Linked DNA regions of Lepisosteus oculatus. The protein of the gene in region 1 purifies or fractionates together with the protein of each later gene. This does not show direct contact. Links are inferred from orthologs where the notes say so. Each region holds a gene or a part of one and is shown on either strand. Other genes may lie near its edges. The genes, in order: suv39h1b, mecom and histone-lysine N-methyltransferase EHMT1-like.

What was found.
Region 2: the proteins of suv39h1b (region 1) and mecom purify together in Homo sapiens (affinity purification with western blotting; 3 studies listed by BioGRID). This does not show direct contact. The link is inferred for Lepisosteus oculatus from reciprocal best matches to the Homo sapiens genes SUV39H1 and MECOM.
Region 3: the proteins of suv39h1b (region 1) and histone-lysine N-methyltransferase EHMT1-like purify together in Homo sapiens (co-immunoprecipitation; 3 studies listed by BioGRID and IntAct, with this or other methods). This does not show direct contact. The link is inferred for Lepisosteus oculatus from reciprocal best matches to the Homo sapiens genes SUV39H1 and EHMT1.

What each region holds. Positions count from the first base shown.
Region 1 is NC_090697.1:77,485,902-77,493,571, forward strand, and holds the start of suv39h1b (histone-lysine N-methyltransferase SUV39H1), read right to left. Parts: upstream 3,039-7,670; 5' UTR 2,725-3,038; coding exon 2,706-2,724; intron 1,148-2,705; coding exon 1,002-1,147; intron 1-1,001. Other genes in the region: NACHT, LRR and PYD domains-containing protein 3-like, read left to right, coding at 6,209-6,314, 7,319-7,366. UniProt on the Homo sapiens protein: Histone methyltransferase that specifically trimethylates 'Lys-9' of histone H3 using monomethylated H3 'Lys-9' as substrate. Also weakly methylates histone H1 (in vitro).
Region 2 is NC_090708.1:20,672,518-20,679,945, reverse strand, and holds the start of mecom (histone-lysine N-methyltransferase MECOM), read right to left. Parts: upstream 3,035-7,428; 5' UTR 2,819-3,034; coding exon 2,782-2,818; intron 1-2,781.
Region 3 is NC_090719.1:1,862,417-1,869,905, reverse strand, and holds the start of histone-lysine N-methyltransferase EHMT1-like, read left to right. Parts: upstream 1-4,434; 5' UTR 4,435-4,449; coding exon 4,450-4,473; intron 4,474-4,541; exon of another isoform or gene 4,542-5,003; intron 5,004-7,489. UniProt on the Homo sapiens protein: Histone methyltransferase that specifically mono- and dimethylates 'Lys-9' of histone H3 (H3K9me1 and H3K9me2, respectively) in euchromatin.

The DNA.
Region 1 (7,670 bases):
AACACACACTGCACATAACATCGGCCACTGTCACTAAGGGCACATACTTGGAGCTCTGAGCGAGTTCTGAATGCATTTCTCAATGTGCTTCAGAGCAGGCAGATGGTGGCATGTCAAAATTTTTTTTTTTTGCTCATTTCAAAGTTGTCCATCAGGATCTTAACATACACGTGGTGGAAAACAGGCCAAAGGATTAAACTTGATGTGTCATTGTTACCAACATGTAGACGTGGCATAAAAACGAAGGCAGTATTAACTGGTCCTCACAGTGTTCGCCTTATTTTATTGGGGTTTGTTTCCCCCCCCCAATCGGTCGCAATCACAGATCAGTGCATCCGCTCACAATTTATAAACGAGCTCATCGTCAAGAAATTAAACTGCGGGGAGAGCATGTCTGTCCTGTTCCTGGGTGACTAAAATAAAAATAAAACGGCACCAATGAGACCACAGTGCTGTTCCTGTTTAAAGGATCTAACAGGCTGTCCCCACTGGACACCATCACCAGCGCCTGCGCAAACAGCCCCCCCACTCCCACCCAATTCCCTGCTCCCGCTCTGCTTCCAGAGGCTGGGTTTGGCTCCCTGTCAGCTGCCGGGACACATGGGCCCGGAATCCGCTGCCCAGTTAAATCTGGAGTGGAGCGGGAACAGTACACCAAATATTCTTTGGAAACAAAATGCACAAAAAAAGCCAAAACAAATGACAGCTGTTAAGACATAAATGACAGTCTGCTCGACGGCCCCACCCTCAGAGAAAGGCGTGCAGCTGCTCCCGTCCGGGCCTCGAGCCCAGAGCGGTTCTGAGGGCTGAGCAGCGGACAGCCGAGAGCCAACTCCGGCCGCTGGGACGGCAGTGTCAGGAGGCAGGAGGGAGAGACCGTGCACACGTCCGTGCCAGCGCAGCAAGGGCTGGAGAGGGTCATGACCCCGACCCGCCAGCGCCCAGGGCAGAGACAGACCACCGCCAGCCAGGCCTCACCACCCCCCTGCGCGGGCACTCACCTTCGTTTTCCTGTAGTCGCACAGGTACTCCACCTCGAAGTCATTGAGGTTCTTCTTGGTGATGCCCAGCTCCTTGCAGGCCACCCTCTCTAGCCGGCACAGGGTCTGCAGCTGGCTCCACGAGGACTTGCACGCCACGCGGCACCCTGCGCACGAGCAAGGACAGCGGGTCAGCCCCCGGGCACCACACGCGCCCCTCCAGCTCGTCACGCCCTCCCCCGGGCGCCCCAAGACCACCGCCCTCTGCGCTGTGCCCTTCACAGCTGGCAGGACGTCTGAACGAGTGCAGAGCGATTTTCCACAAACCTGCGGAAGGAACACTCGGGGACTAATCAGCTGCCGGACTCCAGACGGTGATGCTCTGTAGGTGCAAACTCACCTTCATCAGAAACACAATTTAGACTCCTCACCGTGTGGTACTGTAGACACAGGGGTGATCTGCTCGCTAGAGTTATAGTTTAGGTTGTGAGAAATACTCGGAAAGATTAGTCAGAGCTTCCTTAAAGCCCCCTGAAACTCGGACTGTGTCTGCAGCCGAGGCAACCTTCCCTAGCAACCAAGACAGCACTGAGCTTTTATTCTGGGGGATAAAACAAGGGCTTCAAATCAGGAGAGCCGAGTCTGAGCCTTTCCCTGCCACACAACAACTCTGGGAAGATAATTTCTCCTGCCTGCACGACTCGAGCACCTTCGATCAACCACTGCGCTTATTTTCTCATTGCCAGCGCAGACACGGCGGCCCTGAGCATCAACAGAGAAGCCAAATCCAGGCATAAGTAGCACTGACCTGCGCCCCTGCGTCACCCACATCACGGTCACCGACTGGCCTCACCGCACCCGACGCCAAGGAAGCACCGGGGCCGAATCGCACACACCAGTATCTCATGCTTAGCAACACTGATGATCACGGACAACCAAGCTTATTTTTCCATTTTAAAAAGTGAGAGAGAACCTGAACACTCTACCACGCAATGTGGCGGTGTGCTTTACCCCGCTGAATATTTTATTCAGGAATGTCAGAAACTGCTGTTAGACTCAAGAGCAACCGAAGGTCTCAGCTGCCTTATCCCGCTCTGTTATGCGGCGGACAGCGGTGGGGTCCGGGCACGGTGAGGGATACGTGTGCCCCCTGTGCTGCAGCCAGTCAGCTGGGGCTCTTGTCGCCAGGAGCGGGGAGACGTTTCCTAACAGACCCCACCGGCGCCCGCGGCTTCACGGGCGACACCGAGCCCCGAGAGCTGCCGCACGACACAGCCCTCTGCTGCGGTCGGAGGCGCCACGGACCGGCCGAGCGCCGCGCACCCCCGTGTGGTCCCACAGCCCGGGGAGAGAGGCGAGGACGCGCGTCGGAGCCACCGGGACCGTCTCCGGACCGCAGACGGCCATCTGCAGAGCTCCTGCCCGGGCAACCGACTGCTCCCCCCACCGCGATGGGGGACCCGGGGAGGGGGGGCACCCCGCACGGCAGGCTGCCGGGGGTGGGGGGGTTCCCGGAAGGGCCCCGGGGTCCCCCGGCTCGCGCCCCTCCGGCCGGGGGTTTAAACGGATCCCCCCTGCCCCCCCCCAGAGCGAGCGCAGCGCCGCCCGGCCGCCCCTCCCGACAGGACCCGCCGGGTACACGGCCCGGCCCGGAGAGCCCCCGCCGAGCGGCGGCGAGCATCCGCCGCCTTTTTCGCGCAGGGGGCGACGCGAAAACTTTCTTACCTTTCAAATTTTCCGCCATCTTCTTCCCCGCCGCCAAAAATCTGCCTGCTTAGGCAGGGGCAGGGGGCGCACACGGCGGACGGCTCTCCGACTGGCTACAGCGCTCCACAAATGACACCCGGCGCAGCCAATGAGCGCCACCACTCCCCCCCCTAGGCACGTCCAGAGAGGGGCAAAAGCGATAGCGGACCGGAGCGATTGGAAAGCGAGTCTTTTGACTGAGCCGCGTCTTTTGACTGAGACCGCAGGCAGCGCTCGCTCACCAGTCACGCCGCCGAGCGCCCTCGCGAGCCGCCCTCCTATTGGCCAGGCCCGCAGAGGCGGGAGATCGCCGCTGCGCCGGGGTTAACGGTCAGGGATTTAAGCACACCGCCCCCAGCGATTGGCCGGCGCGGGCGTGAGTGGCGTCCACATCGAGCAATCGCCGTCAGGCGGGGGGAGGGGACAGGGCGGCGAGCGAGCGCCGTGATTGGCCAGGGGCACGCATGCCCAGGGACGGGGATCGCGCTGAGTTGTGGGTCTGGTGGTTGGTTTCAAATCAGCAGCGCGCTTCCGGTTTTATGGAAAGAATGTTACTGAGCTGCGCCGAGTCGTGTTTATCAATTGTCATACAAGGCTCGCTAATGTTTCTATTTTTAACCATTTGGGATGCCCTACGGTGTCTGTCAGTTAGACCGCATAGCGTAAATAATGGCTTTTTACTTAACTAGGTATTCTCTTACATTTGCCATTTATCATTGGAAGATTAATGTGAGCGAAAACCAATACCTCCAGCTCGACACATATTCTGTGTGCTCACATATCTCATCACTTTTCACCGTTAATAAAACTTCTGTCCTGCACCGTCAGTGACACCTCTGTGTGTCCGGAGCCGATTTCCTGTGTGAGTTTCGTGTTGGCGTTGGCCGCAAAGCACTGAAAGCAGTAAAGGTTTCGGTTTCCTTAAACGTGTGTGAGATACACGTAGCGTTGGTCACCCCGCTCAGTTTACCAAACACATACCTAATAGGAATCAAAGAGATTGTTTCAGTTTTATGTGGGTTGTTTCAAAGTCGTGTCACGGATTGGGTGACTCCTATAGGATTTACTTTTGCTTTGTAGACGACTATGCCACCTAACAATTCTAAAGGGTGCTAAGACCCTTCTCCTGCCACAAGTCCTGCTCGTCTCCCAGAATCCCCAGCGAATACACACAGACCAGCAACAGGCACTTCATTTCCTAGTGATCACAACAACTCTCACAGCACATTGTACAAAACCATAGCGTGATGGGGGTGGGAGGAGGCAGACCAGAGGCAAGCACACAATTTACACCTCAGTCACCCAACAAAAGTCCCCAGACACTGCAGTCCAGCTGTTCTGTCCTCTGTGTAGTTCCTTCGGTGATTCTCAGGCATCGTCTCCGGTCCTGGCAGTCCAGAACAACACGGCTCCCTCGTGCTCTCTCCCCACCTCGATTTCTCCGAGTCCAGGAGAAATTTAATAGTGTTTTTAATAGTGACGGCAGCCATAGTGCACCAGTGCTCTCACCTCACCCCAGCTCTCAGTGGGGAGGAGAGCAGAGTGATGAAGCCAGTTCGGAGATGGGGCTTATTAGGAGGCCATGATTGGGAAAGGCTAGGAGGGAATTTGTCCAGGACACTGGGGTAACAGCCCTACCCATTTCGAGAAACCCCCTCGGTTTAGTGTATTTATGCATCATTTTGCAGCTTTACCAGGTGGGATGCCATAGGAAGGATGTGAAGGATGGCCACTGCTGCAGCTGCAGTCCTGCTCGGGGTCACACGAGTCCGGACACCTCCAGACAGCGGATCAGTCGGGCGGAGGCCCAGGAAGTGGATCACAAGAAGAGCATCGTCGCCTTCAGTGAGACCTCTTGAAATCTTTCATAAAGTCTGCTACACGTGCCAACCACTTCCTGCACTAGGCAGAGATAAGCACTGGTGCTGAACCTCCAAAGCAAAACAGTTTCGATTCGCACCATCGCTGGCTCAGCCCAGCAGAAGGTAAGCGAAGTCTTGTTTTGTCCTCTTTTAGTTGCTTTTGCAGGTGGATTCCAAGTAGCTTGTTTTTCTAACCTCTGTAGAAGCCTTTCGCAGCCTCGTTCCCTTGCTGACAGAGGGGTATGGCGTGTGCCTGGCTGACTGGTGGCACGGCCAGGGGCCAGGGGCCAGGGGCCAGGCTGAGGCTGGATGTGTCTGATGTGTGAAACAGTCAGAAACAGCATCGCAGGCGCGAGGAAGACAGACAACAACCAGGAGCACTGCGCACAGCTGAGGTGAGACCGATCTACTTACAAGCTTTACCAAGAAACACAGCGACCTCTTTTGCCTCAGGGTATCAGATTTTTTTTAAATCATTTTCTTCTACAGGCTTGGTTCTACATTTTCAGAAAATGGAATCAATTGCCGGTTTTGTCTGTCTACAATTCTTGTGTCTGTGATGGTTAATGGGTAAAAATGTGGTCATATCCCCAAAGGAGAGTAATCATTTTGATCAATAGATGATTTTAGGGCAGCACAGTGGTGCAGTGGTGAGCATTGCAGCCTTGCAGTGCTGTGGCCCTGATTTTAATTCTGGGCTTGCATTGCTGTTGGTGTGGAGTTTGTATGTTCTCCCCCAGCCCATGTTCTTGTGGGTTTCCTCCAGGTGCTCCGGTTTCCTCCCACAGCCCAGAGACATACGGGTGGGTTAATTGGCTTCTGGGAAACCTGGCCCTGGTGTGAGTGCTCTGCTACGGACTGGCATCCTGTCCAGGATGTACCCAGCCCAGTGGCCGTTGGTGGGATAGGATTGCTGGGAGAGACTCTGGCTCCCCCTCAACCCTGAATTGGAAGAAGAGATTAGAAAGTGGACGAATTATTGAAAATCTAACATGCATGAAAAAGTTTCACATTGTCATTTACTTTCAACACATTCGCCTCACAGGAAACATCAAGATAAAATGTAGGTGTTGACACATTATTTTTCTTTTGCTACATACTGCATTTTGCTACAGAAATCCTAGCAGAAATGCCAATCTCTTCTGTATAAATATTCCTGCAATTATATTTTGTATTCTATTTTTTTTTCATTATTTTTTTGAAACATTTATATCAGGAATACAAATCATTTTCATTTATTGGGTGAAGTGACAGACAATCAATGTTCTGTCAGTATTTCTGCAGCACCGTGGAAAAGTTTGTAGCAGTACATTTGTCATATTCTTGTAGAAGAAGTAATTTAATTGCTTTTATTTTAATTACTTTTCAGCGGCGGGATTTTGACCCTCTGTGTTTGCTTGACAGATGCAGAGGAGTCTGATGTTTTAAACAGAAGGCCTGGACTCTCTCACGCTGGATAGAGGGCTGGTTGTGTTTAAGCTCCTGTCTCACCACCTCGCCGATCTCACTACAGAAGACTTCAAGCGCTTCAGACATGAGCTGCGTTACAGCAAGCAGGATGAGCACAGGATCTCCTGGTTGGAGCTGGAAAATGCTGACCGCACTGACACAGCTCACCTCATGGCCGAGCGTTTCAGCTCCCAGGCCGTGGAGGTGGCGCTGGATGTCCTGAAGTCCATCAACTGCGCCTCCACAGCACACAGCCTGCGGACAGAATGGGAGAAGGGTGAGCCCTGTCAGGGTGGTCTTCACAGGAGGGGCCTGCGAACCTGCTGCGGTCAGCTGGCCCGGCTTGTTTCAGCTCCTCAGCCAGAGAGAAACCTTCTCACTGGCTCTGTCCTACAAGGACTTTGACTGAGAGATTGATTAAACCGAGCAACAGCTGTTCAAAGCACAACATGTCCTGCACAAGTAGGAACCCAGTATTAGCATTGCTGTTTTTTTCATTATTATCAGGAGCCAACATTGTCATTTTAGGTTTATCTGAAAAAGGAATAAGGGGATATTTTTTAAATTAAAAGACTTGAAACGAATCCTTTTTAGGACAAATGGAAAAATAATTCCAAAATCAGACACCACCAATGCTGCCTCCTCTCACTATTTCCTGGAAATTGAGTCACTAACAGCTACTGATGAATAACAAAAAAGTAGCTTCAAAACCGCGTGTCTTTCCTCCTCTAGTCTTGTGAGAGAATGAGAGAGAGGGGTTTCTTTGGAGCTGTGGTTTGCCAATCAGGCTCAGTGCTGAATGACTTTCTATCACTAACTCAGAAGAGTCGGTATCAACGGGAACCTGACAGTGGTGAAACATAAGCAGCTTTTCTGCTGGTTTCACATGTGAGTGCACACTGAGAGCACGAGGTCAGCACCCCTGTCTCTGATCCCTGCTCTCGCTGTGAACAAGGGGTCTCAGCTCCCTCCCGCAGGCAGAGACAGCCCCAGATCAAGCTGCTGTTTTAATACCGGCGGGGTGTAGCTGTTCCGGGCTTCACGCCTTTTTGAATACACGAGTCAGAGGGAAAACAGATGTTAATATAGTTCCAGACTTATAATGTGTTTGTATAACCCACTGTTGTTTCCGTATTAATATGATGCTCAGCAGGACTTATTTTCCTCTCCCGTATTTATTTCCTCTGTGATTAATCCTTCAGTCATGTAAATACTGCTTTGAGAATTTTAAGGTGTCAAACTGCTGCATATCTTACTAATAATTCTGAATTTGTTCCCCAGTTACAGGTTATGATGCAGGACACTCCCCTCCAAAAAGAAGGTTGATAGGTAGGTGTTTTGGCACTGATTGTGAAGATTTGGTTAACTTAAATAGTAGATTATATGCACCATGGTGGTGCTCTCCCTCTCGTGCCACTAGTGCAGAGCATGCTCAACCGATGATTGATCTGTGAAATAAGAAGCTGATTCAGGGGGGTCACATTGAAGTAGAATACGATAATAATGATTCCTCACATGCATGCAGTGATTTCCATCCCAAACATTTCCACAGCTCTCTGCATGTAGGTGGGGACCCAACCAAAACCTGGGGGTCAGAGCGCAGGGTGCTCCTGGAGCAGCTGGGGTGAAGGGC
Region 2 (7,428 bases), on another chromosome or scaffold:
AAAAAGAAATCAAATGTATTTGTCTGTTTCAACCTCCCCTCGAACATCGAGTCCTTACACCTATTCCCCTCGCCACCACCAAACGCGAAAAAAACAACTTTGTTTTAAAATCGATGTGTTCTCATTCAGATTTCCCACGGCCAGTCTCATTAGGCTTGAACTTTTATGTTATCATAAACATTGCTCACAGTATGGCCGTATGGCGAATTAAATCTAAATTAGAATGCAGTTTTATTATTATTTTATATTCATGTAATAGTCATCTTAAGGAATCTTCGCGGAATACCCTTGTCCTCTTAGAAGTGACTCTCATTCTTTCAACAGGAATTCAACATTCTCCACTTGAAAATAAAGGACTTGCCAATACTTCTAACGTCGAATGACCGTCAGTGCTACTTGGAAAACTTTTCTCCTCCGCAAAGTTTCAACGTAGCAGGAAAAAAAAAATCATTAGCAGTCGTATTACACCACTTAAAAAAAGACATAGTTGCGTTTTAGTCTCCTGGGATTCTGGATATGTTGATCATCATTAATTGATTAAGTGGGTGTTAAACTGTCAATTGCTTACGATTTACCTTTTAATTATTGTGATCTGCGCTATCTTCAGGTTATAGGGCGGTCTGGAGGCATCTCTGCAAATTGAGATCTCACAATTAAGTACTCTAAATTGTGTTGAAGCCCCCAGAAAAAGTATATTTTCACTTGTTCAGGAGCTTACTCTACCTCTTTTTGTCAAAATATAAAATATAATATTGCCTGGGAATTAAATTATGCAATTTAATAAGTACTGGAAACAATCCCCCCGGAAACTAAATAAAATTAAAATATACACGTTGTAAAAAATACTTATTCAGGTATGTCGTTTAAACAATCCGACGCTCGTCACTTTCAGTATTTGTAAAAACTTCCAATTTAACACAAGATATAAAATGATTTAACTTCTATTTAATGTTGACAACATTTGTATTATACAATTTATGTATCGATCATTTGACATTTATTTTCTTCATCACGCCAAAAAACAATTATCTTTAGATTAAATCGGGAGGATCATTAATATCGTAACATACAAAGTAAAACAACAATAATAATATATTAGGATGACCACATCAGCTTCAAGTTCATTAAACGGAAAGAGCGCACAAAGACAGGCCCATGTTCTGTTTGCGATATGTCTGACCTGTAGTATTTTTAAGGAAAAAGGAAATGATATTTCAGAACACGAAAATTATACGTTTTGGAATGATTTCCTTTATTGCAACATCTGATCTTAACCTCATTTGGGAAAAAAAATTCAAGTTATTCAATAAACCGTTCAGTACTGTCTTTGAACTTTCTTAAATTCAGCGGCGCTACCAAGAATTATAAAAGCATACAAACAGAAAACTGTCCTGGAAACGACATTCACAGCCGCAGCATGAGGTGCACATTAAACCTCTACTTTTTTCGCAGGTTTTCGATAATTGAAGCATATAAGAAAAACACTCCGTTTTGGGGGAACATGGATTTAAATTAGAATTAACACTGTTCAAAATTAAAAAGAAAAGTTAATAAAGTCATCGAGATTTTTAGAGCTATATGTAGGGCATTAAAACTCGCATCCTTCATCAGAAATGTTATTTATTGATTAGGAGAACAATTTCGATTAATACTTTCTGTTTATCTAGATCGCGGGAAACCAAGTTTGTTTGAACGTAAAGCGACAAAGTACTCGAGAATTCCTTAAAAACACTTTGCCACAATGTGAGAGAGAACTGCTAAATATAGTTAAGAAATGCTGCACTTCAGAGTATAGACAGAATACAATATTTTTACAAAAAACATATATATAATAACGATTCCATGGTGAAAACGTCCGAATGATTTGATTTACAATTCACAGCCATATCATAATATTAAAACACTAGGAAAATACTGCGATTAAAGCTGCTACAGCCTTTGCACGACAGAAAAACATATTTCCAAGGTTTTCGCTCACAGCACAGCGCAGCTATTGCAATATCCTTTGCACGCTACATTTAGCGCAATCGCGTTAATTTCTCTAACACACTTGTTGCGCATAAATTCCACGAAACGTAACCTATTTAAATAATCATCTAATGTTATTTCAGTTCAAACCCCACTCGTTTACAAACACCGTATTTTTATAGTCTCTAGAATACGCATGCCTTACGAACGAGTCCGAGATTTCACATTGTCCTGCTCTGAACAAGATTTAACTATACTACATATTTGTTCTCCGCCAGCTACGTCAATGTAGTACCTGTAAACATTTAAATGCACAGATTCCTTTTTCGGAAACTTAGTTTTCTGCTATTAGCTTAAGCCCACCTGCCTTTTCAAAGGTGCTGCTGCGAATTGAAGTGACCAGGACCTTAGCGCTTTTAACAGCGAGTTCCAGGGAACCGGACCTCAAGTTAAGCGACAGCGCCCACTACATGCAACGCAAAAGTGCTCGCAGCTCGGTCTCTGTAAAGTTCCTCTCGCATTTATTCAACTTTTTTCCCCAACTCATTTTGCTAATATAAGCTCGTGGTGCTCAGAGGACCGCTATTCACAAAAGCCAGCGGTTGCAAAGTCATTTCAAAATGCTTTCTCTCCTTTCCTTGTGCAAGGCGACAACTTGTGTACGTTGAGAGGACAGGTCAGTGCCTGCTGACATTAACGTAAAGAATACAGGTTGTTTCTATATTTAGATGTGAAAGCATTGATATCACATAAGAGATACACATGTACAAGATGGCAGTTTGCAAAACGCATACAAAGGGATATTGCACCTACTTGTGGCCAGTTTCCTTGCCCTGCCTTTGGACCTCATGATGCCAGTCTTTCGGCGTGGGTTTGTTTGATTTTTTCTTGGATCTTTTCCTCCTTTTTCTTTTTTCTCTGTCCCTTTCTCTGTGTTTCTCAATCCAGACTCGCTATCTCTCCAGCATTGTCAGTTCGGACACCTTCGCACATGCGCACAGCCAAACTGCCGGCGCCGCCAAAAAAGTTTGGAGCGATTTATCACTTGATATTACTGATCTTGTCAGATGGCGATCGAGGAGAGATCGCCTTTCGTTTCAGATCTTCAAAGTTCAGTGACTCAGAGAGAAAACCGTCCTCTGCAGAGAATCAGAGACATTAATTATAATAAACTACCCTCAAACAGCTACGGTACATACCTTTATGCTTAAATTAAACCACATTAATCAAAATTAAGCGAAATTAAAACTGTAAAATGTTTTCATTAAACAGATTTAATCGTATTCTTTATCGCATTAGGAAGATTCGAAAATGAATGAAAACGTTAACCCCCAACCCTATTTTTCGGGGGTCATCTGAAAATCTCTGCCATGTACGTATCAATGTGACAATTATCATTCAGTTAAGCACTTTAGGTTAATGCGGGTCTTACCGTGCCTGTGCCTAAATGCTTTGACTTGGGTGAATAACTCTTCCCAATTCAAGAAGGAAATGTTTATCCAGCGTTAACGTCTTTAGTTTAACGTTAAATCATATTTTAAAAACTTTTCATGGTTGCAATTCTTGATTCATCGCGTAAGCTATGGATATGGTCTTAGACGGGATACTGCAGGTCAGTGCAGATCGGTGAAAGCCTTGATTTGTTAACGTTGCAGGACCCTATTAAAATTTAGCATTTTCTTATCTAACAAATTATCTTACTTCAGTGCCCGTATAAGAAAGTACCTCTTGCTCGCAGACTGCATAGGGACATCATTTTACTGTTTAAAGCATATACCTTGCCAAGCGTTGTTCCACATCATTGTTGTGAAATAAATAACTATAAAATAGTTTTTTATAAGACAGTTATTGAATTTCATAATTGTCCAGCCATTAAAGAGATACACGATTACAATTTGTAGAGTCGAATCTTTGTCTCAAGGTTATTACAGTCGGAGTTCCGCGCCAACATTTAATAATTCCCCTGTGTAATCTATTGCAATGTGATACATATCGATACATACAAAATGGCATGCTATCTATAGCAATTAATTTGGTTTTAAAACCCGATCTCTTGATATCGACACCTTATCACATTCAGGATAGTTTATGCAAATGTTATATTCGATTTTCCAGTACATTTTAGCTAACGTGTCGAGTCTATACAGCCTGTTTTAATTATACCATTGTCGTAGCTATGTATGCATCATTTCAAAAGCGTAAAGTTAAGAATATTATCCCCCACATTACACTAGTATTGCACGCATTGAACCAAGTTATCTTACGAAATAAACAACAATATTGCCTCCGCCCGTGAAGCTGAACGGTTCATAAAAATATGCTTGGTTAGTATAAAATCAGGTATTTTAAAGGATTTTCTTGACATGTTTAAGACAAAGGGAACGTTTTCTAAAACCGTTTTTCTTTCGTCCACGGTTTTGCAATTTCTTTTAATTTCACAACTGTAATTATTTCTGTTATTGTCGTTGGCCTCGACCTCTGGCACGGCTTTTCTTATGTTCCAAGTTAATAAAATTACCAGCCGCAAAAACCGTTTGTGCTTATGTAGCCTAATACAAATTTTAAAGGAAGAAAAAATATTGAAGGGTATTATTAATAGCAGGAAATGTGCGCTTCCACAAATTGTCCTTTAACAAGTGCATGGGCATCAGAACTTATCAAAAACCCTTATCGGGTTTCTGTTTTTGTATTGTCTTTGTGCAGTGAACTTTACATCATGCTTTTTAGTTCCAGCGCCCATAACAGTAAGATTAATTTAATCATTGTAATGCAGTTAGAACACGGTTTACCCTAAATGAATTACTTAAACCGTGCTGTTAAAAATTACACTCTCTTAGTAAAGAAGGCGGACGTTATATTAAACACTTCTCCTCATTTAGACTTACAGCTGTAGCTTGAGGCAATCAGCTCAACTAGCCTAAATGGAAACAATTTTCAGTCATTGCAATAACTCACTGTTCTTGAGACCACTTTCAAAATACATACTTTATTATGATATGCTGACCTCAGTGGTTTGAGATGGCATGACTGGAAAGCACCAGACAGATCTGTATAACCCTGTAGGCTGTAATTATTAGAAATTAATTGGGTTCAAGACCCTGACTAGTATAGCTAAATTAATAGCTTGTCCTATATAGTTCAATTTTTTAATCCTATCCAAAAGGGAAAATAAGAAAACTCGTACCCAAGAGACTTTGTTTTAGAACGATAACGTTTGCTTTACCGCGCTGCTTCGCGCCTGATAAGACTGACATTCTCTCCTCCGACAGTAGAGTTATTTTGCGTGCGTTCTGTTATATTCGGCAGGTTGTTTAGGGGTTAAAATAAAAACACAATTTGTATAGTTGGAGCTGTCGCGCCGGACTAAAAGTGAAAAGGGAGCCTCGGGCGAAAGGAAATTACCGCGAGCCTGTGTGACCTTTGCGAGAGGTAATCAATCAAGTGATCAACGGGGATATTTATCAATGCTTCATCGAGCTACTTTACAACAGTCAGGGAAGAAACAAATTAAAAGATGAGCCCGAGAAGAAAAAAATATATACATAAAGCATCGCGCGCACATACTTCTTTTAATAATGATGATGTTGTCAAAATGTCTTTTTCAAAAATTTCTGCTATAAAAATCACGCAAAACGAGAGATATGCAGCATGTATATATATAAAGCAGATAAGGATTTTACAAGTGTAATTTATTTAAAAGTATAACAGAGAGATGTATCTGTTAATTTATCATAGACACTTTAAACATTATATATAAATGCAATTAAGTGCGTTCACCCGTGGAGAAGCTGTGAGAATTAGCCTTTTTCGTTCGACCAGATGAAATTTATTTTAATAAAACGTTTTACTTCTGTTAAGCTACATGAAATTCACATTATTTATGTAATGCGTTTTCACTGGATGAAATTTATTTGCTGTGCTGGGGTTGGGAGCCCTAAACGAAAACTCCTGGAGCGATTTCAAATAATTATTAGGCTTTGCCACAAATGAAAAAAAAAATGTTAAAATGTGTAATAAAACTACTTAATAATAACAACAACAGAAAACTAAATAAATTATTGTAAATGGTTGCTAGTAAAATATGTCAAACAGGACAACATCCAAGATAGAGAAAGCGAGTCACAAGGGCAGAAGCAGTGTGAACGGAGGAAGCGCTGGTATACAGTGCCCCAGAGTGGAAAGATGTGGAACTGAAGCTCAAAAACTTCACTGGATTTTTCTAAAGTGTTTATATTACGTATATTCGTTTTAATAATAATAATAATAATAATTGCTTACACTTATATAGCGCTTTTTCTGGACACTCCACTCAAAGCGCTTTACAGGTAATGGGGACTCCCCTCCACCACCACCGTTTTAGATTTGTATGTCCTTTTGGCATATACGTTAATCGCGAACATTGAAAATACAACAGACTTTGCTGTAACACAGGTGCTTATGCAACAGAATCTGGAGCCTGTTCACAATTTGAGTTTATTTTTTGTTCATTAGCGTTCCCCGTGTTCGGCGCCTCTTTCCTTCATATTGAATGTAGCACTGAACTGCCAGGTCCCTAAAAAACGAACTGCAAAAATGAAATGAAAATTTATTAATTAAAAAAACACAACATTGTTAATGTTTTAATTCCCTCGAGTTACGAATGAACCCACACACTATCAGAAAAACTCAACTGCATAAATACTCCAAAAGCTCAACGCGCAGATGGCTACACTAGAATTCATCTGTAAATATAGTTAAGAGTGTAATTAACACAATTAGACGTAACTCTTACATGGCTGTGATTTCTACTCGTTTCTCACCTGTGAATATATTTTTTATCATCTACACTCTTAGATTATTTGGTCACGGTAAATCCAAATTTAAAAAACAATCTGAGAAAATAAATGGCTTATTATTGTATGAGCACTGCCAGAAGAATGCTAACCAATTTTACGTCCTTTGCGACGATTACACAGGCATGATCAATATCCTTGAAAAGAAAATCACTACTAATGAAAACTTTTGAAGCGTCAATATTAGTCATTATTAAAATGAGCGAAAGGGGCAGTCGTAAACACTAAGAAATAAAGGACACGGGTGCTGGTCAGTTCTGTATCATATATTATATCAATTCTGCGAGGCGTCAGGGGAATTGTAAGACAGAACAGCTATACATCAGCTGGAGTTTTGAGCCCACCTAGGTCAATATGGCAGGACCTTAAACACGTGGTCAAATCAATTCATACAGACCAGAAGATGCGTTGCTTGACTGTCCCTGAATGCGAACTTGATCCTGATATTGGTATTTATGAATAATCATTAATCACGAGAACGTCAGAAGAACCATATACCAAAGACATTGAAAACCAGAAGGTAACTAGACAACCAGCCTTCAAAAAGTCTGATTAGTATTGGGAAGTGAGGTGTGTTTTCTCAATTTTTTACACATTACGAATGAATCATCGTTTTAAACAACTTTGT
Region 3 (7,489 bases), on another chromosome or scaffold:
GCTACATGCCCACATTTTTTTGGAATTCATCTCAGTGTTGAAAGTTAAGCTGTTGATTTTAACAAGTGTGCTTCAGAGTTTTAAGTGCTCAAGTTTTCAATAACATTTTATTTAAGGGGTCACTTGAAAGCCACAAATTGGTTGTGACACACAAGTGTTGTATAGCAGCTAGTTAGCTACCAGTTCACTTTTGTAACTAATTAATGTGTCCTACTGTAAGTGTTTTTCTAATAGTGTCCATATTAGGCATGGACCCCTCATAAACCAGCAGCCCCAAGCTGTAGGAACGTAACGGTGAGCCCTCAAAGTGACGTTAGTTTTTCCTTCTTCTTCATAGCGCAGATTTCACTTGCCCTTAAAAGATGATGACTGAAACAGGGGGAACTTTCTGAGTGTCTGTCTAAGGTGCATCCTGGAAGATCTGGGCACAAGGTGGGACTTCACTCTGGGCTTTTGCTGTTGATTAAATATTCCTGCCTGTAAGGAAGGTACCAGTGAATAATTCAGTTTTTACTGAATTACAGTACCAGTAGTTACCCTCCCGAAAACACAGATTGGTTCACGAAACTGGCTCTGTGAATGAATGTGCCTCACAGGAAAATGGGACGCAACTCCTTTGGTGCCTTTGGAAACCTAAGATGAGAGGTTTTGGTTATCTGGGAGCAAGGTCATGCCGGCCTCGGGGCATCGTCTGCCTCTTTTGTGCTGGGATTGTGGAGTTCTGGAACGGGACGATCCCAAGTTTCGGCTGGAGGGCAGGTCCGGTTTCTCGCTGGCCTGGCTTCGTGGCCCCTTGGAAAGATGAGCAGGAGGGGAGTGAGACAGAATGAGAGAAGGACTTGTACGCTGGGCATCGTAATGTCACCTGCCATGCTCGCTGAGAGGGGAACAAGTGGTCACTCTCCTAGTGGTCAGTGCGAGGACTGTTAGACGACCCCTAGTAAAACAAAAAAGATTGATTGTTCTGCTGGGTTGTGTAGCCGAGAAGGAAGGAAGAGCTTGGAATCCGTCCGTTTCCTGGGATCTCTTACCAGTGTGTCAAGGCTGCTGACAAGCTGGTTCAGGCGTTTCAGGAAAAATCCTGTGAGGCAGTAGTCATCCTGAGGAGCTCCTTTAGAGCTCTGCAGGGAAAGAATACAGATCATAGGAATGCTAGTGTAAGGCAACAGGAAGAGCTTTTAGGCCAGATGACACGTCTGTGGCCCTGGGTCAGATTTTACCAGCTGCTGGAGACTCCCAGTATTGGCCAGCTACTGGTGCAGTTTGATTTCATCCTTCCAAGTAGCTGATCTTTCGGCAGTCCCTGAATTCTATGAAGCCAGGAGCCCTGTGCTGGGCTGTTTTTGAGTTCGTGGAAGTTCCTTATGCAGGGCCTGCTGTTTTTTTCCCCACCAAAATACTGCATTCCTCAGCACAGGCAGTTATTCCTGCTTCAGCTGTAATAAATACCCCAGCCTGTCTTAGCTGGAGGAAGGGCTGAGGAACAGAGTGAGCCGGTGGGGATTATTGAAACCTTGTGTTCATAATGGCATTTATCTTCATTAGCCTTTGGAACGAGATTAATAGTCTTCTTCCATCTTCCTGCTCCCGAACGTTTCCCTTCTTTCTTCTTTGTGTTGCAAGAGCACGAGAGCGCTGACTCGCCAGGGGAGCCCAGCGGGCCTGTCGAGTCTTCACTCCTGTGCGTCGGGGCCAAAGTCTCTTCGGTGTGGTTGCCAGACAGTTCCGAATATTCCTTGTGGGAATGAGTCGTGGGCGCTGCGCGATCGCGCACAGGTTATGACTGTGTTTGTGACGACAAAATCTGGGAAAAACCCAAACGAAACCCCTGCAAGGACGGCAGTTGCTGAGAAGCAGCTGGCGAGGACTGGTCAGAAGGGGCTGGTGTGGCAAGTCCCTTTCTGTACAAACCGAATGGCAGCGTCCTCTTTCCCATCTGAAAGGGCCAGAAATAGACGTTTCAGGTCTGTTTTCACCCCGTGCGGAGTCTGTGTGGGACAGCACATAAAAATAGCACGGGAGTCAATGGAGATCCCCCCCCACCAGGACAGGAATAGAGACCCGTGTCAGACTGACCATGGGGCAGGAAATGCCTTTGACCAGCTGTGTTAGAGCTTTGGGCCGATTTCATTGGGTCTCGGCAGCTCAGTGGGGCCGGGCCCGGTCAGCACCGGGGGGGGGGAGACCTGGAACCCGACTCGGTGCCGTTGGTGGGCCAGTGTGTGTTGGTTCTCTCCTGTCCGGCGATGGAGGGCGCCGAGCTGTGGGCGGTCCTGCCCTGCCGAGGACACGAGATGAAATCGAGTTTCCTGACTAATTGGTCGTTAAGGACTCCAGTGCGCCGTTGCTCAGGGTAAAGGGGGCGTTGACACCTGGCATCCTGGTTAAATTCCTCCCTGTGCCTGAGCAATCTGGCTTCACTGAAGAAGATCCCTCCTCCCCCCACTACCACCACCACCACCTCTCGCCCCCAGTTCAACCAGTGAACCATTGCCTCCCTCCTCACCTCTGAGCTGCAGAATGACTACTCACTTCAGTGGAGAATTTCAATGATTCCCTCCTGTACGTGAAGAGCTTTCAGATCCCTGGGGATGATGAGTGCTATATATAGGGGATATATGATCACACATCTGTCTCCCTGCGTAGCAGGCTAGAGCAACCAGGAGCTGCTGCCTTAGAGTAAGCAGTTTGCACCCCTCCTCCTCCTCTCTGTTGCTCTCTATATCATACCGTACATGTGTATGTATATTTGTAGTGTTGTGTGACAATTACTGGTTGCTGGTGTAGGGATCCCTGTGTGTTGTTTCCACAGGTTCTGTTAAGAAGCCAGTCTGTACGATATTTGCTCAGTTAGCCTCTGGGGTCTGATGATGTATCTGGATGCTGCCGTAAATGACTGGCATGTGGGCTGGCTGCGTGTGAGGGTCTTTTCTTTGATTTTGTGTGTGGAAAGGTGCCGTCTGTGTTTACCAGACCAGATCGTCTGGAGGTGCTGGGAGGCTGATCTTCTGAAGGATAGTCCAGAGGTGTCAGTCCTGGAGTCATCCAGTTACATAGCAGTTTGATGAAAACACGGTGACCTCCAGTACAGTTGGGCTTCTTGGGAAGGCTGAGGTGAAGGGTTGGTTGTGGTTCATCCTAGTCTTTTCTTTCCTTCCTATTTCACCAGTCCAGACAGGTTTGAAATCCATCTCTCGATACATCGTGCTTCCCTACACCACTAGTGAAACGCATGCTTTGTGTTCCACTCCCTCAGTTGTGCAGCAGATAATATTTTTGAGTTAAGGATCGGAAGAGATCCTCCGGCAAAATAAATTAACAAGCAGACTGGAGTCTGCACCTCTTCCTTGTGCCGTCGGTTTTGAAATGCTGGGACACAGCTGAAAGGGGACTCTTTTTGAGACTCATAAAAATCTGGGAAGTGGCTGTTCCATTAAGGATAACTTAGATGGGCTAACCGAGCAGAAAAATGTTCCTGGCAGATTTCCAGTGTGTTCTGGCCATGGCTGTAGTCTTTGGGGTGTTTTACTACACTGCTCTAGTGATTTAGCTACACTGTAAGGCTACTTACTCTCGAGCCTCTGCCTGGCAAAATATCACCTATATAAATCTTCAAGCGCAGGAAAACAGTCTGACATTTTGAAACCGCTGCAGAGCAGTGTCTTCGAGGCCTCGAGCTGCTGTTTCTGCCACGGCTGGATTGAGCAGGAGGGCGGCGGGGGGGATTGCTCAAAAGATCACCCCCACCCCGGGCGTGCCCAGCGCTTTGACTCCTGACCGGCCCTGACCTTCACGAGCTCTCGAGCCGCGTGGATTCCGAAATCGAGTGTTCTTTATTCTCTTTCTCTCCCCCCCCCCCCCCATTAAAAGCCTTGCCATTCCTCCCTGCAGGAGGAGAAAGAGAAAACCCTCTCGTTTCTGCCCTGCATGGCACTCATGCTTCTCGCCTTAATGGCAAAAACGAGCGCCTGGAACCTATAAAGGGCGGGGGGCTGGGAGCGCAGACCGGTCAGGCTGTGGTCGTGCCGACACGCAAAGCAGAGCACGTGTCCTGTAGGAGCAGTCCTCTGGTCAGGCCGGCTGCTGTTGTCAGGAATGCACAGGAAAAGGATTGCATTTAAAGCACAAGGATCCCTTCCTCAAGCACGCTTGACCGGCGTCGCTTAGTAGTGCTTGTGTGCGCGCTGGCGCTGCCGGACAGCTCGGTTTTTGAGGCCCTGTCCTGCTGCTCTTGCAAGAGTCCGTGCCATGAAATGGCTGCTCTGTTTTTCCCCCTTCTCTACCGAGCAACAGCAGGGCTCCCACTGAGCATGCCCAGTGCTGTGTCAGAGATTCTACAGGCGAGGTGGGTCATGTGACCTGAGCGGGGCCTGTGCATGTGTAGGAAGCTGGGAGGAAGAGTGGAGATCCACACCGTCTCTCTCTCTCGGTTTCCCCCCCTCTCCATCCATGGAGATCCACAGCCTGCAGCAGGTACTGCCATGTTGCTGGATGGGTTTGTCTTAAAGAGCAGAGGAAGGATTTTTTGGAAGGACTCGTGTGTTTTTAATATATTTTTTTTTTCTGGCTTGCTTTCTGTGCGGTGATTGGCTCTACAGGTCTTGTTTTGATTTTTTAATTTTTCCCAGAGCCTGCTCTTGACTTCCTTTGTGATTTTGGTTCTTGAATCTACAGTGTTTTAAGATTAAACCTCCTGTTTTTCCCCCCCACCCCAGCCCCCACCATGTGAAGAGAGAGAATCCAGATGTAACTCGTTTTTTGTTAAGTGCTTGAGAAGCTGGACCTGCTGGTTGGAATGGTGAGACAGCAGGCCCGTCTGAGCAAGGAGGGTCCCCGGCTCAGGCCAGTGTCTGTGTCAGCAGGAGTCTAGTCAATGCCAAGGGACTGGGAAGACCTGAACTTGCTTTTCCAGCCTGAGTCTGAGTATTTCCTGGCGTTAAGAGGAGACAACTGCCTACATTTCTGTTAGTCTTCTTTCGATCTTGGATTTGCCTTTTGTTTCAGTAAGGACTTTTTAAATTCTCTTATTGCCTTCCACTAAAGTCTTCATTTGCTTCATCTAACGAAAGACGCCTGGCTCGATGTTCCTTTCAGCGCTTGCGGAATGATTTTAACCGCAGGCTGGGTCACGCTCTGTTTCAAAGCCTGTATGGTATATTTCTCAGCTCTACAGAAGAGAAATGGCGATGGTGGTTAGATCACGGCGTTTGCAGTCAGGAAAGGGTGTGGAATTTTTTTTTAATGTGAGCCAGGCTTAATGCTCCTGGCTGAATGCACAGGTAGAGCTGTGTAGCTGGAAAACGCTCAGGCCTGTGTGGTCTTCAGTGACGGCGCTGGAGGAGACATGTCAGAATTCACTTGAGTGCTCGGGCTCTCCTGCAGATTCCTGAGCACCAGACTGTGAGCTCGAAAAGGACCACAGTCATTATTCTTGCACCGCGGAGACTGACTGGGTTCCACACAGCCTGGTTGTTTGCATCTTTCGATTACAGAAACACCCTGTGGCTGGCTGGCTGGCTGGCTGGCTGTAGTGGGAAGTTCTCTGAGTGCTGCAGTATTTCATCTGGCTGTGTTAAACTCTTGAGGTGTCAGTATTTCGAAAAAAAAATTGATCTGTTAAGCGGCTATTGTCATCCTTAGGAGCTGTAAGCTTTGTTTTAAGATGCATTGCAAATTTAAGGAAATGAATACTACATGTGGAATTCCTTCAATCTGGTTTGAGAATACCAGTTTGGGTTCCCAGGAGTTTCTTGTGTGTTTTGCTGGTTTTTAGGCTGGATGAATGTTGGGTTTGCACATCTGCATTTTCTTCGCAGCTGGGCCTTGAGATCTGCCTTCACGGCTGCAACTGTTAGATCTTGGAGATTAGCTCCTGAAACGTCCTTTCTTCCTCTTTCTGTGCTTTGGCATCAAAGGTCTTGTTTCCAAGCAGGATCTCTGTTGGAGGGGCGAGCTGAATTACGAACAGCTGTATTTTCCTGAGGGCGTGGAAACAACTCTGAGGAAAGTCTTTTTTGAGATCTGCGCGGGGTGGAAATTCAGCTTGGTTCCTACCCAGATGGAAAATGGATTTTTAAAATAATTTTTTCCCTGTTAAACGCTCGTTTATTAAGACTCGGAGAGGGGAGGTTTCTGGATGTGTGTGCTGGGATGAGTATTGGTTGAGAGGTGAAGCACAGCAGTGTGTTGCTTGGGCGTTTGGCTGAGACGTTTGCCTGCCGACGGCTCGCAGCTCTTTAATGTATTCCTGTGCCTGTCAATTACTGGCGCTACGAAATGGCTGAAAGACAGCCTGCACTGAGCATGCTCCGGATCCTGGGAGCACTGTAGCGCACTCCACCTTTCAAGAGCTTGAGATTCTTGCGCGTTCTTGAGTGAACCGGTGCTTCTCGTGTGTGAACGAGCTGTAGACGCTTGTACTGGGGGCTGTGCCTCATCTCTAGCAAACAAACGAGCGTGAGATTGGACGTGTGACTGAAGTCTTTTGTGTTGCCGTTTTCCTCTAGCCTAACCTTCGCAAACTCGACCTCCCGTGTGCAGGGTTCCTGCCCTGCAGAGGGGGAAGTGAGCTGAGGGTCTTGCTGTAACACCAGACTGAAGGTCAACCAGTCAGTCAGTCATCCATCCAGAACGCAGGTCGGCACTTAATTACTCCCCCATGCTGTAAAGGTTCTGATTTCTGTGGCAGCTTTCACCTCTCCTCTCTGCAAAGAAGCAGCTAACTGCCGATCAGAGAGGGTCTGTCCGTCCTCCTCGGCACTCCACACGTGTTCCGACACCCTCGCTGGCCCTTGGGCTGTGACCTTTCTGACCTCGGAAAGCTGAGCCGGCGTGGCGGATCTCGCGGTCTCCGTGGGCAGCCAAGACGGGACGTGCCGCGGAAACGCAGCTGGGGGTGGGAATAACGTCTGCGATCGGCGCCTCGTCTCTGCCTGCGTGCTCCCGAACTTTCTCTCGGCTCATCAGCTGCAACAGCAGGGGAGCCTGGGCCATGAGGGTGTTGCGTACCTGGCTCTCTTTGTGGGGGGGCTTTCTTAGGCTGCTTTATCCTGGAGGCTTCAGGAAATAAGAGCTCGGAAGACTGGCGGTTCTGCTGAAGGAGGAGGCCAGGTCCCTCAGCCTTCCTTCATGACTCCTGACAGTTGCCGACTCAATATTGGGGCTTTAATGGTTTCTCTTTTCCAGTTAGAGCTGTAGACGGAAAGCAAACAAATATAGTTTTTTTTATAAGCCAGCTGTTAAGATTTCTCTCTCTGAAAAGTTTGTTTTGGGACACTGATCCTTTTGCGGTGATAAAGGATCGGCATGATACTGCCAACGGTTACTTTGATGTGGATTTGCCGTTCTGTAGATGCTTGTATGCCGAGACAGAATTATAATGCCCAGGAGTTATACCCAGGCGTGGACTGAGGAATCGGTGAGATTCACGTTCACGATTCGCATGCGGCAGGTGCTTCCGATTGGGGTGTGATGGTGTCGCCCCGGAAGG